Ovis aries: one gene and its partners. The protein of the gene in region 4 interacts with the protein of the main gene of each other region in a pairwise test. Links are inferred from orthologs where the notes say so. Each region holds a gene or a part of one and is shown on either strand. Other genes may lie near its edges. The genes, in order: CBY2, MEOX1, ARID5A and CKS1B.

Region 1 (4,105 bases), on a different chromosome or scaffold from region 4:
TTTTGGTGACCAACTTCTGCACAGGACCTATACCTGGCACCTAACGTTGGTATGGCTTTTTCCTTGAGCTAGAAATAGTAATCTTAGGAAAGCTAGTAGCTAAAGACTTTCAGAAGGCTTTGTCATCAACTATATAGACCTGTCTTAATTTCTGTTCAGAGATTGATGAAGCATCTTATCAGATACCATCTTCACATTCTCGTAAGGTACATAATTAACAGGAGGGGAGAAGTGAATAGTAGGAAGTCCTGTTTTGCAGTTGAGCAGCTGAGGCTCAGACGATGGGCTGGAAAACAGAAATCTGCCTATTTTCTCTTTTCCACAGCACTCGAGGCCAAATTTTACAAGAAAAAGAGATACCAGATCTGAAAGCCTAGAAATTCCCATCAATGTGGTTCTACCTCAGGTAGGGATGAACACTGAAGGCTGTAACCTCTCAGTTTTGGCCAGAATAATCCCCCTCTTTCCAAGCTCTAGCAAGATACTGCAGGTCAGTGGTAGCCAGGGCCTCAGATTCTAGCTGAAGGTCAGCTGCCAGCCAGCTGTGTGCCAGGGGCAGTCCACTTAGTCACTTGGAGTCTTGGGTTTCCGGTCAGATGAGAGGGTGGGTTCATTGATCTGGTAAGACCATCCAGCCCGACCACTAGAAGTTTCTGTGACAATCTTTTCAAAATTAGAGCGTTTGGAGCTTCTTTACCACCAGGGGGCACTAGTGGTAAAGAAACCGCCTGCCAATGCAAAAGACGCAAGAGACCCGGGTTCGATCCCTGGGTGGGGAAGATCCCCTGGAGGAGGAAATGGCAACCCACTCCAGAATTCTTGCCTGGAGAATCCCACGGACAGAGGAGCCTAACGGGCTACAGTCCAGAGGGTTGCAGAGTCGGACACGACTGAAGCGACTTAGCACACACCCACATTGTGCACTACTCTGGACTTCTGGGTAGAGGATTAGAACTGAGACTTGGGATCAAGGGCACAGGCCCGAACCCATACACCTGGGACATGGACCGAGGGGTCTGGGCTCCTGTGGAGGGGTCAGGAGAATTAGGGCCTGCCGTGTACCAGGGACAGAGCGTAAGGGGGATGAGCCTGGGGGGGTCAGAATGGAGGCCAGCGCACGGGCGACAGGCTGGACATTCTCAGTTCTCCTTCTGCTAAGCAGCCGTTTCCCGGGAGGGGTCCTCCTGATTGGATTGTTTCTGCTGCTATGTCACAAAGGGGGCAGCCTTGCTTCTCCAGAGTCACCTAAGGCCCTGGGGGAAGATCATGGCGGTGCAACCAGAGGGGCTGAAATGTAGGGTGGAGGAATCCAACGCAGAGGTAACGATCTGAAAGCTCTGTCCAGGGATGTGTGGGGAGAGGGTTGACTCCCCAGTGGGGTCTTGGAGGCATGAAATTAGAGTTCAACCTGCTGCCTGTGCCACACACGGGCAGATGAGCGTCCAGGGTACTCTGGAGGCGCACAAGTCCTGAGTCAGGCTCCAGACCCCTGCCAGGATGGGCTGGGCACACTCTGGGGGAAGCGTGCTCAGTCGCACCCGACTCTTTGCCACCCCGTGGACTGTGGCCCCGCCAGGCTCCTCTGTCCATGGGATTCTCCAGGCAAGAGTACTGGAGTGGGTTGCCATTTCCTTCTCTCTGGGGATAAAGGGGCACCTCTGCGTTTAGATGATCTGAGCGGGCTGTGAGAGGGACCAGTGTGCCGACTGGACCTCCCCAAAGGAGAGGCTGACGGCTGGTGGCAGGGGAAGGGTTGATCTGGGTCACACGGGGAAGAAAGGAGAGTGACTGCGCACTGGATTGGTCACATCGGGGCCCTGGGCCATGCAGAGCGAGGGAGAGATTGCAAAGGACCGGGAACTGGGAACCTCAGCAAGTCCACTAGTAATGGCGGAGCTGGAGTTAGAGGCTTGAAGCCAGGTCAGTGCCCACGTCCTCTGCCACAAGCTGGGCACATGCCGCCTGCTTCTTCCCTGGCTTTTAGGACAGGGTGCCTCCCCACCCCCCATCTTAACTGCCAAGCCCCTGCACGAATCTGCCACATTCTGCTCCGTTCTGGTTCTGAGACTGAGTCCATTTGTTTTGAGAAGAAATTGCAGGAGCAGCTCTGTGTCTCCAGAAAGTGCCTCTGCACCCCCCCAGCTCCCAACCCTGCCTGAACGCTTCTCATTTGCATTGCGAATGTCTGTGATTCTCTATTTGTTATCACCCTTAGGTCTTTTCGGGTCTTATTGATTTCCAGTTTTCCTTCCTCACAGTAAATATTTGTGTTTTCTAATCTGTTTCTCTCCAGGGCATTAACTTGCCAGCCTTCCCTAGTTACTTCCTTCCCAAGTTCTCTGCACGCCGCCCCTCCACCTCCCTTGCCCCCCCCCCCCCCCTTGCCCCCCCCACCTCCCTTGCCCCCGCCCCCCCCCCATTCCTTTTCTACCTACCGGTTCTCCCCAGCACTCCCATTTTCCCAGTGAGCACTCTCTGTGAATCTCATAAAGGCACTGTTTCCTGCGAGATTGTTAATGAAGGCTCCTCACCAGGTCAGAATAGGGTCCCATCACCCCTCCAGGGCCCCGCCTTGTCCCTCTCTGTTGCCTTTTTTCAATCCCCTTTGTTTGGGTTTGTTCTTTGGAAGCTATGGAATCTGTGGCCGACAATGCCTGTAGCTCTGCCAGTTTGAAAAAGTGTTAGGAGGATTTCGGAAGATTCTGTGTTAAACAATTAGCTAAAACTACCACATACGATGAGAGAGGACATCTTTAGCCTCTTTGCTGTTAGTATTAGGATTCTATCCAAATCAATTACATTGACCTGCAAATTATCCTCTTATCTGTTAGCGTTTATTAAAACCAACATTGACTTTCTCATGGCACTTGGGAGCGGAGTTGATTTAAGCATATGCTCGTGATACTCAGCCTTGTCACCTGGTCTGAAAATTAGTGGCAGATCTGGAGAATCCTAGGGACAGAGGAGCCTGGTGGGCTGCCATCTATGGGGTTGCACAGAGTTGGACACGACTGAAGTGACTTAGCAGCAGTAGCAGCAGCAGCAGCTGCCTTTCCTTCCAGCATATTCTGGGTCTCAGCTTCCCCAGGCTTGAAACGTAACCCCAGAGGGCTGAATATTCTCTGACCATAACCCTCAGTAATGCTGGCAAAAGCAGGGCTTTAAAAACACTTGGTCAACAGACTTGGAGTCTGCTGAGGGCATTTGGACGTCTCTTCTGGTCTGTGGAAGTGCAGAGAATCTCAGTGCCTGGCAACTAAACTGGCAAGTCACTGTCCAGTTCTGTTCCCCAACGCTTCAGATGGGAGGCCAGCAACCTCAAAAGCTCCATCCCCGAAGGTCCTATTCCTTAGATACCCCTTAGCTTCAGAAAGATGCTTTGGTCTTATTACCTCCCCTCTGCCCTTAGCCCTACCCCCGTTTCTAGCCACCATCCCTCCTGTGTGGGCTCCATTTGCCACACAAAAGGCTGGTGATCTGACCGAAGCATGCAGTTGGTTATCTCATACACTTTCCTTCCAGTACCACGTGTATTTTAAAAACGGATGCTGGGGAGAAGGATGAAGAGTGAAGAGTGAAAGTGTTAGTCGCTCAGTCACGTTTGCTACTCGGCAGCCCCACGGACTGTAGCCCGCCAGGCTCCTCTGTCCATGGGATTGTCCGGGCAAGACTACTGGAGTGGGCTGCCATTCCCTTCTCCAGGGGATCTTCCGGACCCAGGGATGGAACCAGGGTCTCCTGCATTGCAGGCAGACTGAGCCACCAGGGAGGCCCAGGGCTGATGCTGAGGATGGAGCTCAGCCACAGGTGGGATTCAGGCATCTGAGCGGGAGCTCTCGGGACCCAGGGCCCTTCCTGCGTCCTTAGCACTGATGCAGCTTCTTTAGGTCACAGCCGGGAGCACTTTGCTCCCGAGAGCAGCATCTCTGGGTCACCTTCCTAACAAAGCCACGGCCACACGTCTCCCCTCCTGCTTCCTTCCTGTATCCCGTTCTTCCATGAAGAAGCCCCCCGCTTCTCCTCTCCCACCTATGAGGGCATGTCCTACATGTCAAGGAAGAAACTGTCCTTTCTTTCTTGGAAACCGGGCCAGGCTGTGCTGGGG
Region 2 (4,024 bases), on a different chromosome or scaffold from region 4:
GCGAACTCTTCAACTAGGCACAGAGCCAAGGAGCTGAGAGTTCCTTGGAGAGGAGAAGCAGAAAGTGTCCCATTCTCAGCAAATTTCCAGCCAGGCCTAGGAACAGTTCAGGGTTTAACCGGGTGAGAATTTAAAGAGCCCTTCTGTTCATAGCATCCAAGAGGGCTATGTTTTGTTTTGCTTTGCTTTTAACTCAAAGAAATTATTATTTTATTTATTGGTCTTGAAGCATGGCACCTGGAATCTTAGTTCCCTGACCAGGTATTGAACCCTTGCCCCCTGCAGGGGAAGCACAGGGTCTTAACCACTGGACCACCAGGGACTGTGGTTTTTATCATCCACTGTGAGCACACTGAGGGACTTCTTCAAGCATGGAGACCAGATATTTCAAAATGAGAATTGCGTTTGAGATCTACTGAAGGGTGTGGGATTTGGGGTCTGAAGTCTGAGGTTTGAGCTTTCTTCTAGGGTGACCAACTGTCCTGGGGACACTGGACTTTCAGTGCTAAAACCAGGAAAGTGCTGGGTACATTCGGATGAGTGAGTCACTCTCTGTTAACTCCATGTTAGCAGAACTCCTCTCAAGCTTTTCAGTCTCTTCTTTTCCACATGTAAAGAATCGAGGCACTGATAAGACCTGATAGACCAAACTTGAACCTGTGTGACTCAGAACTATCATATGTTTCTTACAGCACCTTGAACCCCCTCAGTCATAGCATATCCACTGCCAGTGGCTTCTGCTGGCCTCCCCTCCCTCTCAGTTTGAGCTGTTTAGGAGTGAGAACACCTTATTCATCCCTGCAGCCCCAGGGCCTCTGCCAAAACTCAGCAAACAAAGATGCTCAGGAAATCTGGGCTACTTTGAAAGCACTTTGTAAACTAAAGCAGAGAGTGTTCTCTTTGGTTGGTCTTCTCATTTGCTGCCTGCTCCTCATTAGCCCCATGAAAACTCTTCTGTAGGTTCAGACAGATAGATGTACCCTGAGGGCAGTCGTTAGGAGGACATAGTCGGGCAGTGGGTGCAGGAAGCAAGGGCACTGTCTTGTTCTGGTCGAGATAGAGACGGGGAATGAGACAAAAGGTGAATGGGTGGTGAGAAAAGTTGGGAGATCCCGTGGGGAGATGAGGAAACAACAGTCCCCACCACCAGGAGCAGATGGACATTAATGGGGTCTGAACAAGCAGGTCAGCTCCATCCTCTGGCCTCTGATACTCCACCAGGGCTTACCCTCTGCTGCTTGCCTCTCTGACTCTCCCCCAAATCAGTGACTCCTCAGAAGGGCTCCTCTGAGGAGTGGCCTTTGGGAGATCACCCAGACCTTAGCAGGTTGTGCTGCCCCTCGGCCTGTACACACAGCCCAGCAGGGCAGTGCATTCCTCACGGTCAGTCTGCCCCAAACCCTAGCATTTGCCTCTCGCATCCCTGCCCTATGTCTGCTTTGCTGCCTCTAGACTTCCAGAGACACAGAGTCCTGGTTCTGTTTGATTGCCCAGGGTCCCAGCCTTGGTCCTAGCCCTCTGAGCCTTGGGGAGTAAACTAACTCTCCTGGGGAGTAAGCCCTGGGGCTCTCGGGGCCATTTGGAACAGGCTGGGGCATACTGGGGAGAACTGTGACCCAGACACAGTCCAGTTCAGAAAAGCTCCCTCCAGCCTTTGCCAACCTGTACCCAGAGGCTCCATCCCACCTGCCCTCCAATCTTTGTGGATCCTGTTTCATTCTCTTTCCAGCACATCCTTCTCGGAACCCAGGAGAGGTGAGGACACAGACATAGCCCCCATCACCAGAGAATCCTAGAATTCTGAGCAGAAATACCCCCAAAGGTAACTGGTTTAAGTCTCCGGCCTTTGGGGAGGTTAGATTATATTATCCCCCATTCACATCAGGCTACCTAGGCTCAGAGAGGGCAAGCAACTTCCTCAAAGTCACACAGTAAAGGAACAGTCATCTGTTCCTCAGCCACCTACCTGAATTCTCCTTTTTCCGTCTGGTTGACTTCTTCTCCGTCTCATTGGCAGTGCTCCCAAGGACCTCATAGTCCTCGCCTGGGCCTCCCGTCGTGTCCACCAGGCCTGGGCTGTTGGCCCCTATCTCCTTGGAACCCCCCACGGGGCCTGGGTTGAGCCTACGCCGGGCCTCTGACACAGGGAAGTGCCAATCGGGGGGTTGTGGGAAGGCAGGGTGCTGCTCAGTAAAGCCTCGCTCCTCCTGGGGCAGGCTGTGTGGGGTGGCTGCCAGGCATGAAGCTGAGAAGTTGGGGTATGTAGTTGTCGCTGTCGCTGGGAAGTCTGGTTTCTGGTGGAAGGAGAATGGGGTTGGCGGGTAGTGGGGGAGCCCTGAGGCTCCAGTGCCTTCCAAGTGGGGGTTTCGAAGGCAGCCCCAGACAGGGGCCGGGGGGTGGGGACCCCTCATGCAGCTGCTGGCCGCTGGATCCATCTGCGTCTGCTGCCCGCCTCAATCCTTTCAAAGGTTGGATTCTTACACTTTTTATATTCAAATTGTTAAAAATGCAACCAAAAAAAATTTTTTTTTTTTTAATGAACAGGAGGGCAAAAGTGTTCGATAGAAAATTCGCCCCAGGAACCAAAACAAAAACCAAAATGAAAGTTGCTCCTCAGAGTACGCACACGTGTGGGTGGCCACACATATGTGTGCCCGCACCTATGTTGGATTTGGCTCCTGGCTTCCTGTTCCCCCTGACCCACCAGCCTGCCTAGTGGGGTCCCCTATACGTGTATTTGTCGCCGATGACACTAAACATTTTCACTGTCCCAGCCCAGACGCACCGGCTGACGAGGGCTTGTCCTGGAGCCCGCAGCAAATGCCTGCAAAGAGCTGGTCCAGGGCTGCTGAGACACACTTTTAAATCCTGCGGTGGGGAGAGAGTGACAAATTTCTGAAGTGAAATGTGAGAGAGGAGAGGGAGGGGTTAACCAGCACACACACGATCCCCTCCAACCAAAACCCGAGCAGGCAACTATTAATCATCAGAAACCTTATATGCACATCTAATGGGATTTGCAGATGGAGTCTTTTAAAGAAACATTGTCTGTATTTTTTTTTAAGGAAAGAGAGCAGCACACACACACTTTCTTTAATGTGCCTCCTATAACACTATGAAGTTATTTTATTGCACTGTTAACAAAATTCCCCAAGTCTTGGATTTGAAAAAAGACTTAAGTCAGATCCAGAAACCATCAAGTGCCAAATTCCAGGGAGTGAAGCGGGGAATAAGTGCAAGAGACAAGTTTGCTGATTGCATTTGATTTAAAGGCCCTTCTACTGCTGCTTGCAAAAAGGAAGGTGGATTAAAAGCAATCTTTTTTTGCAAGTCTCAGTGGCCCACTACGGTCTGTAGTAGAAAGAGAGACACACTCCAGAAAAAAAAATTATTTCTCTCAGCCCACAGTGACATTCTCACTTTCTCAGTAACTTAAAAAAACAATCAGATTCTTCCTTCCGCTCTTTAACCCCCAACTTACATGCCAATTAGCCACACTCTTGTCTAGTGGGGTTTCAAGTCATTTTTCCCCAAGGCAAAGGAAAGACACTTAGGTAGGTTCCTTGAAGTTTCTCCTGGCTTCCCCCACCTGCTCTCTGGCCCTGTAACCTTCGCCCACCTGCTTTGTCTTCCCCACCCCCAGAGGCCAAGTTTTCCATGGAGTCTGTGCATGGAAATTGGAATCAGGAGCTTCTCGTTTCCCAAAGAATTCTCTCTCTCTCTTTTTAAAAATATTTATTTACTTGGCTGCACCAAATCTTAGCTGCGGCATGGGGGATCTTCGATTTTTATTGCAGCACATAGTATCTAGTTCCTTGACCAAGGAATGAACCCCGGGCTCCCTGCATTGGGAGCGTGGAGTCTTAGCCACTGGACCACCAGGGAAGTCCCCAAAGAGTTCTCTTTGACAAACAGTCTCATTGTCTAAGAGCTTCCCTCGTGGCTCAGAGGGTAAAGGATCCGCCTGCAATGCATGCAGGAGACCAGAGTTCAATCCCTGGGTTGGGAAGATCCCCTGGAGAAG
Region 3 (3,174 bases), on a different chromosome or scaffold from region 4:
TGGCAGGCTAGTAGAAGGGCTCGCCAAGAAGACTCGGCAGCAGCCCCCAAGTCGGCATCCAGCACCAGGGCAAGCGACGCCAGCGTCCTGCTTGCACCCTCAGCCCCAGGAGCACTGCCGACAGCTGCAGGGCACCCACGTGGTTTAGCTCAGGGTGCTGGATCACGCCCAGTGCACAGCTCTGCTCCCCCACGTACCCACGGGGGAACGGGGCAAGTCCCAGCCTCTCTGAGCCTCAGACTCCGATCTGCACCATGAGGAAGGTAACAGCTGGCTGTCCCCAGACTCAACCAGCCCAGTGGGCTGAAGGCACAGGACGAAGGGCACAGCGTGCAGAAGTATGAGCGGGAGGCTGGGTTTGCCCTGGCCCTGCTCGTTAGTCCAGTGACAGCGTCCCAGGCAGGAGTGGGTGCTGGGCAGGTCCCTCTCCTTGGCTCCCCATCACCCTATGGGTGGCGCTGCCCATGAGAACACCCCCGCCTCACTGCTCCTGCAAAGGTCCACACCACACACACCTCAGGGCTGCGTGGATTCACTGGTGTTTTATTGGATTTTCCACAGGCAGCATGGACAGCCCCGTGGCCCTTCACCCGCCCCGATCCCTGCTCTGGGGCCCGGGCTGGGGGCTGTCCACCTCTCGATGTCTTCTCCTGAGGCATGCCATCACTGGGCCCCAGCCCCTGGGCTCAGGCTGCCATCTTGAGAGAGAAACCCAGTCTGCCCAGAGCCTTCTGGGCCAGGCTTCCCAGCCGGGGGCCCATCCCTGTCAGGCACAGGCGAGCTCTCCTGAGGGGCTCCGAGCCAGAGCTCCCGGCAGTGCCCACCCACCCCAGGCTGAGGCCAGACCCTGACTGCGCACAGCACAGCAGGCCCAGACCTACAGCTTGGTGTTGAGGTGGAAAGAGAAGTGGGGTGCCGTGTAGGCCGTGGCAGGAGGCACGTGCCATGGAGACGAGGCCGGGCAGAGTCTGTGGCACAGGGCACCATCAAAGGATGCCGGTGGGAGGTGCATCAGGCCAGCGGTCATGGGCGAGGGCGCTGTGGCGGCCAGCAGGTGGGCTGGGAAGGCAGGGATGACCAGGGGGCTGAAGGGGAGGGTGGCCTGGCCCTTTAAGGGGCCCAGGGTGCCAGCGAGGTTCAGTGGACAGTGCAGCATGGTACCCCTGTAGGCCTCCGGGAGGGCGGGGCCCAGCAGGCAGGAGACGGCCAAGTCAGGGCCCCCGGGCTTGGTCCCACACTCCTGGGCATTCGCCTCCTTCAGAAAGGGAGACACTGCCCGCAGTTTTTTGCCACCGTGGACCGAGCCCTCTTCCGCCAGGCTGCGCTTGTGGCCCAGGCCTGGGCTGCTCGGGAAGGTTGGCAGGGGCATGGGGCTCTCAGCAGGGACCTTGGTCATGGGGGACACCCAGCAGGCTTTGGGTTTGGGGTAGAGGCTGCCCTTTCTGGAGCTGCCCTTGTGGAATGCAGAAGGGCGGCCGGCATCCCCACCCCACACCAGCGGGGGCTCTTTGGCTGGCAGCCCCTCCTCCTTGGCAGGGGGCCCCAACAACACCCTATCTTTAAGACTGGGGAAAAGGTCCCTGGGACGCTGGCTGACAGGCTTCAGCACTTCGCTGGGGTAGGCGTGGAAGCAGCCGGTGACAACGGGGGCCGACGGGCGAGGGCCTGCCTGTGTCTCCCGCCAGAGGCCGCCCCCGGGGGCCTGCCTTCCTTCCAGGGGTGTCAGCCGGTCCCTGGAGTCCTCGGCCGGCCCTCCTGGGCTCTGGGGACTCTCCACGGGCGGGGCAGCTGGGGGTCCCTGGGGCTCCCCACCTGCCCCGTGGCGACAGCCCTCCTCCTGACACTGCAAGGCCTCTGCCTTGCTCACCTGGGCCAGGAGCTTCTTTTTGGCCAGCGGTGACATGATACCATGTGTCCCTCTGCAGTAGAAGCTAGACAGGAGCCGTTTGTAGGCCTCAGGGCAGCCACTGGCACCCAAAAAGGGCAGAGAGGGCCCCACGGCTGGGCCTCGCTGCTCCATGCCATCCCTGGGTGTCTCCTGGCTAGGAAGCCTTGCCAGGTCAGGGGCATCTGCTTTGGTCTTTGCTGGCATCAGCTAGAATGAGAAAAGGCCAAGCCTCAGGGGACAGGAGGGAGCCAGCTCTTCCAGCACGTTCGTGTAAAACTGTCAAAAGGCGTCCCATCCGCTGAACAGACACAGCTTGGTGTCAGGACATGGGGCCTGGTGAAATGGGGTGCAGACTAGGACTCAGACCCCACGTGCACTCCCAACTTGAGGGCCCTCAAGTAATGAACCACTCCATGACCCTTGCCCCCCCGCCCCGGTGCTGCCCTTGGGGGAGAGAGGTGTTCTGGGGGTTCCAGGCAGGGAGCTCTGCAGCCACAGTGAGCTGGTAGGGGGCGCTTTGAGAGGTATGGCACGGGGCTTGGAGCTCACCTGGTCCACCCGCTTCTCCTCCTTGACCTTCTTTGGTCTCTCAGTGGCCCCATCATCCCCCCGAGGCTCCTTGGCCATCTTGTACTGCTTCCTGGGCTTGGAGGGGGGCAGGGGCTTGTCATCCTCCCCCTTCAGGTGCCGCACGTATGGGAGGACCAGCCTGGGGAGGAGCCGGGCATGTCGCCAGGGGGCCAGGCTAGCAGGAGGCTCCCACCCTTCTAGGCCCACCCCGGCTTCCCCCCGGCCCAGACCGCCAACACCCCTGCCCGACCAGCACACAGACACCCCCCAGCTGTGGGGGCTGCCGCCCGCCCCCAGCCCACCGCCCATCAGAGTTGCCGGGGGGCAGCCCAGGGGCCCGCACCTCTTGTAGTGGCGGCCCCCACCCCACCGCCCATCAGAGTTGCCGGGGGGGCAGCCCAGGGCCCCGCACCTCTCGTAGTGGCGGCCCCCACCCCACCGCCCGTCGGAGTTGCCGGGGGGCAGCCCAGGGCCCCGCACCTCTCGTAGTGGCGGCCCCCACCCCACCGCCCGTCGGAGTTGCCGGGGGGCAGCCCAGGGCCCGCACCTCTCGTAGTGGCGGCGCGTGCATGTGGCCGCACTGGTGCTGCCCGGGCTGCCTCCCAGCTCATCGTACACGTTCTTCCAGAGGCGGCGGCCAGTCACCTGCAAGGGTGCCACGTCAGGGTATAGCTGGTGGGCGCCCCCTGCCCACAGGGTCCTTGCAGCTCGGGGTC
Region 4 (4,001 bases):
ATCATTCCTTCATTTCCTTGGTCCTACATGGTTGCTTTCAGCCATTGCACTGACCTGGTTCATGGATCATATAATGGACCCATCCCTGACTCTGCTGAACACCAAGATTCCTCCATTCAGATTCAGACATCAAATGAGTTTTAGGGACCAGCTTGGCTATGTCCTTGGGCAACATGACATGCCTGTAATAGAAACGTGGGAAGGTGGGAAATTTGTATCAGAACTGGGTACAATCTATCAGATGAGGGGGCTAGCAGGTAAAGCCAAGACAGACAAGAAAAGAGAAACCAGTTTGTAATGGCAGGGAGTTTATAAAATCTTATTGTAGTGCAAAGGCAGCTAGAAATAAAGCCCAAGTTACAGGCCAAGTTACGTAAATTCTCACGAAAGTATATTAGAAAGTACATATTAATGAATAACACCCGTGAATGAGTGCCAAAATTATAGCCACTTACAGTCCTCTAGTTGATTACTCTTAAACAATATAATGGGAGCCCCAGAACACACACACAGACTGTTAATAATTAGGGGTGGTTCTGAACAGGGTTGTAAGGAAGAGAGAGAAGTGATTTCAGAGAGGAAAGGCCTATCAGGCAGTGCTGTGTGGAAGAGCCAGAACATAAAATCAAATATATGGAGAAGGAAATGGCAACCCACTCCAGTATTCTTTCGTGGGGAATTCCATGGACAGAGGAGCCTAGCAGGCTATAATCCATGCGGTCGCAGAGAGTTGGACATGACTTAGCGACTAGACAACAACAAAGATATCTATTTATACATTTATACTTTTATAAATTTCTATGGCCTATGTATAAAATGTCCACAATCCCCTCACTTTTTAAGTTTTACAATTTACAATTTTACAAACACCTGAAGGCAAACATTTTTCTCATAATCCATTTGGTTACTAAATCTGAGATGACCTGAATTTATCTGCTGGTGAAATAAAGACTTTTTTACCCGCCCCTGTCACCAAGAATGAAATAGAAAAATCTTCTCTTTTAAAATCTATCCTCATAAGTTACATTTTTCAACTCTGAAAGGATGTGCCACGAGACTTCTTTGGGGGAGACTCCATGCTTTCCTAACCAAGGATAAGTCTCCTTTTATAGCAAAGAAATTACTACTTGAATTGGGGTGACCCAGACTTGATTATTATGTTCAGTGACACTGCACTGAATGCTCTCTCTGTGCTAAGTAAAAGGGATTTCACCCCCCCACCCCCCACCTGTAAGTCAATTCTGGTTTAAATGTCTGAAAACAGCTTACATCCTAATAAGCCAATGGCATAAAGACTGGCTTCCAGGGACTATTTAGACCAAAACAAAACAAAACAAAACAAACCTTTCCTTAAATCAAATATCACTGCCAAGACTTACATCCTCCAGAGGATGAAACTAGTGATGTCTCCCTAGCCCTGCAAAGACATTTTAAGCACACAATTTTAGTTAGCCTAGTTCAGATGTAGAGAACAGCTGAGGAAAAGAGTTAATTGGGTTCAAACAGGGCTGGAGTGTTTTTTTTTCTTTTGGTCGGGATTGTAGTTGCAGCGTGTGGGACCTACTTCCCTGACCAGGGATTGAACCCAAGTCTCCTGCACTGGGTGTTTACCATCTTAGCCACTGGACCACCAGTGAAATCCCAGGGCTGGGGATCTTTTCCCAAGGATCGGACATAAAAACAATGCAGGCAGGGTTATTTGACAGCATACACCAAGTTCTCCAGAAGGCTCAGAGCCCTGCACTAGGCTCAAGAAACACACGAAAACCAAGCTTCCAGTTGTTTTAACTATTAACGCTTACTACAGATTAGTGGAATGCCAACATTTGTAAAATTCTTTGTGTTGCTTTATTTTCTAATCTAGAATTATGGACTTAAGAGCTTATCAAATGCAAACTCTGTATGGAGTCCTTTCTTTATCATGTTTGGTAAATCCTATGTGCTCCCACCACAACCTACATGTACATAGCTCTATTATACCAATTATCATCTTCTTTCTGAAGCCTGTCAGTATTTCCACATATTTTTTAGGTCTGTTGAAAGCAGGGACCATGGCTTATCCGTGTACTTTAGCAGAACACCTGAAACCTATAAACACTCCATAATTGTTTCCCAAGTAGATGCCCTTCAAACATTTGACGGTAATCTATTAGGGCCATATTAAGTCTTTCCTCAGTGGTTCTGGTCAGTTTTACTCGATTCCAGTTCCTCGAAGCCCCCCTTCCTAAAACAAATCAGACAACCACGCCCCTTTCCCATGGATTAATAAGCAACACTCAGGCTCTCTTAGAACTCTCCTCACTTTGAAGACTCGAAGAAAATTCAAGCTTCGCCTTTGCCACCTTCTCCCAGAAGGCTCTACGGTGTGGCTGTAATACAAGCAGTCTCAGGAAGGCAAGTTCAGTTTACTCAACTGAGGTGAGAGAATGGTCCAGAAACCCGCAAAGCTGAGGGTGGTCAGTATTCTAACATTCGAACACTCTAACCACGACCACCCATGCCTCCTTCCAAATTCGCTATCACTCTAGGGGTTTTTTTTGATTGCCCCCCTACCTTTCGCGCATGCGCCTCACACTCTCAGCACACCCATTCCCGTTAACCTCCCGCGCATGCGCCAACTCTGCAGTTTTCAGTCCCCGTTACCAACTTCTCGTGCCCTCAGTTGTCAGAACTCACGACCTTGATATTGCCCCCGCGCCGGCACTAACCGGTACTCGAACTCCTCGTCGTCGTATTTGTCCGAATAGTAAATTTGTTTGTGCGACATGATCACTCTGCCTGAGGACCTTCAGCCCCGCGCCGCCAACCTCCGAACAACTCCCAGCAGCACGCGCTCCCACCCTCTTTGGCCTCGCTTTCAAACACGCCGCCTGCGCTTTCTATTGGTCCCTCTGCCGGAAGGCGGGACAACCCCACCTTCAAGCCTCCGATTGGCTTAGGTTTGCTTCTACTCAAGTCCTCATTGGAATGAACATTGCTCAAGAATTGCCGTAAGTAAAAAATAGACGTTTTATTGGCTATCACTGCTACTGTGCTCGTCCGCGCACTGCCATTGGTTGATTCGGGAAAGAGGGACGGGTGAAGGAGGGACAATGAGGTACAGGGTCAGGGGTTAGTGAGGCCGGAAGTGAGTGCAATAAAGTTTCTCCAGGGAGGCCGGGCCCGGGGAGAAAGTTGGAGCGGCAACCTGAGGAGACAGTGGCGTGATCCGGAACCAAATCGGCCCGCGGTGCGGTGCGGAGACTCCATGAAGTCCTGGTGAGTTGGGACATTTTTCTTCTTAGGTGACCCACTCCTCTACCCCGGAACCCCTCTCCCGGGACCCTACTTCCGGTCTTCATTTACAAGTCCCGCCCTCTGCGACCCCCTCCCCGGAAGTCCCACCTCCCAACTTCAGGGGGCTCTCCGAACCCCGACTTATATTCCATTTACTGTCCCCAATCCTACCCTGTCGTCCAGCTTTCCTGGAAGTCCCACCCCCAGACATGCTTCCAAACCCCTGCATTAGTCCTTCCGATTCCCCGAAACCCCGCCTTCTCGAGACTATTCTCCGTTAACCCCTGTCTATCAAAAGCCTAACTCCCAAAAGGGCAGAACCCTGCTACTCAAAGAACTATTCGAATTCGTGAGGCCACGCCTCCCTAAGGGTTCCGCCCCTTTAGAAGCCTCGCCCCTTCCTTAATCCACGTCGGATCGTCCAGAAGCCTCGCCTCCTGGGAGTCTCTGGTGCACGCGTCTTGAGGGGCCACGCCCCTTCAGGAGCGTTATCCCGGTTGGACCCTTGTCATCGCCTCAGGAGCTTTGTCTTCAATCCCAGAAACTTCACCTGCTTGCGCTTCCTCGTTCCTTTTCTCTTTGGGGCCCTTGGCTCAGTTTTCCTGAGCTCTTAGGCTCCACTGGATAGGGTCAAAAGTTCACATCTCTGACTCTGTGGAGTAAGAGATTAGAGGCAGCCCTTTCCCTCTCCCTTAGCCCCTTCCAAGGGTGGACCTACTTGAAGG

What was found.
Region 1: the proteins of CKS1B (region 4) and CBY2 interact in binary tests that used the Homo sapiens proteins (3 or more experiments, as listed by UniProt). The two-hybrid records come from large-scale screens. The link is inferred for Ovis aries from reciprocal best matches to the Homo sapiens genes CKS1B and CBY2.
Region 2: the proteins of CKS1B (region 4) and MEOX1 interact in binary tests that used the Homo sapiens proteins (3 or more experiments, as listed by UniProt). The two-hybrid records come from large-scale screens. The link is inferred for Ovis aries from reciprocal best matches to the Homo sapiens genes CKS1B and MEOX1.
Region 3: the proteins of CKS1B (region 4) and ARID5A interact in binary tests that used the Homo sapiens proteins (3 or more experiments, as listed by UniProt). The two-hybrid records come from large-scale screens. The link is inferred for Ovis aries from reciprocal best matches to the Homo sapiens genes CKS1B and ARID5A.

What each region holds. Positions count from the first base shown.
Region 1 is NC_056063.1:16,145,927-16,150,031, forward strand, and holds the start of CBY2 (protein chibby homolog 2), read left to right. Parts: upstream 1-1,266; coding exon 1,267-1,320; intron 1,321-4,105.
Region 2 is NC_056064.1:43,309,053-43,313,076, forward strand, and holds the start of MEOX1 (homeobox protein MOX-1), read right to left. Parts: upstream 2,837-4,024; 5' UTR 2,436-2,836; coding exon 1,967-2,435; intron 1-1,966. UniProt on the Homo sapiens protein: Mesodermal transcription factor that plays a key role in somitogenesis and is specifically required for sclerotome development. Required for maintenance of the sclerotome polarity and formation of the cranio-cervical joints.
Region 3 is NC_056056.1:103,915,210-103,918,383, forward strand, and holds the end of ARID5A (AT-rich interactive domain-containing protein 5A), read right to left. Parts: intron 3,104-3,174; coding exon 3,006-3,103; intron 2,938-3,005; exon of another isoform or gene 2,871-2,937; intron 2,598-2,870; coding exon 2,438-2,597; intron 2,096-2,437; coding exon 878-2,095; 3' UTR 524-877; downstream 1-523. UniProt on the Homo sapiens protein: DNA-binding protein that may regulate transcription and act as a repressor by binding to AT-rich stretches in the promoter region of target genes.
Region 4 is NC_056054.1:105,196,889-105,200,889, reverse strand, and holds the start of CKS1B (cyclin-dependent kinases regulatory subunit 1), read right to left. Parts: upstream 2,860-4,001; 5' UTR 2,768-2,859; coding exon 2,709-2,767; intron 183-2,708; coding exon 55-182; intron 1-54.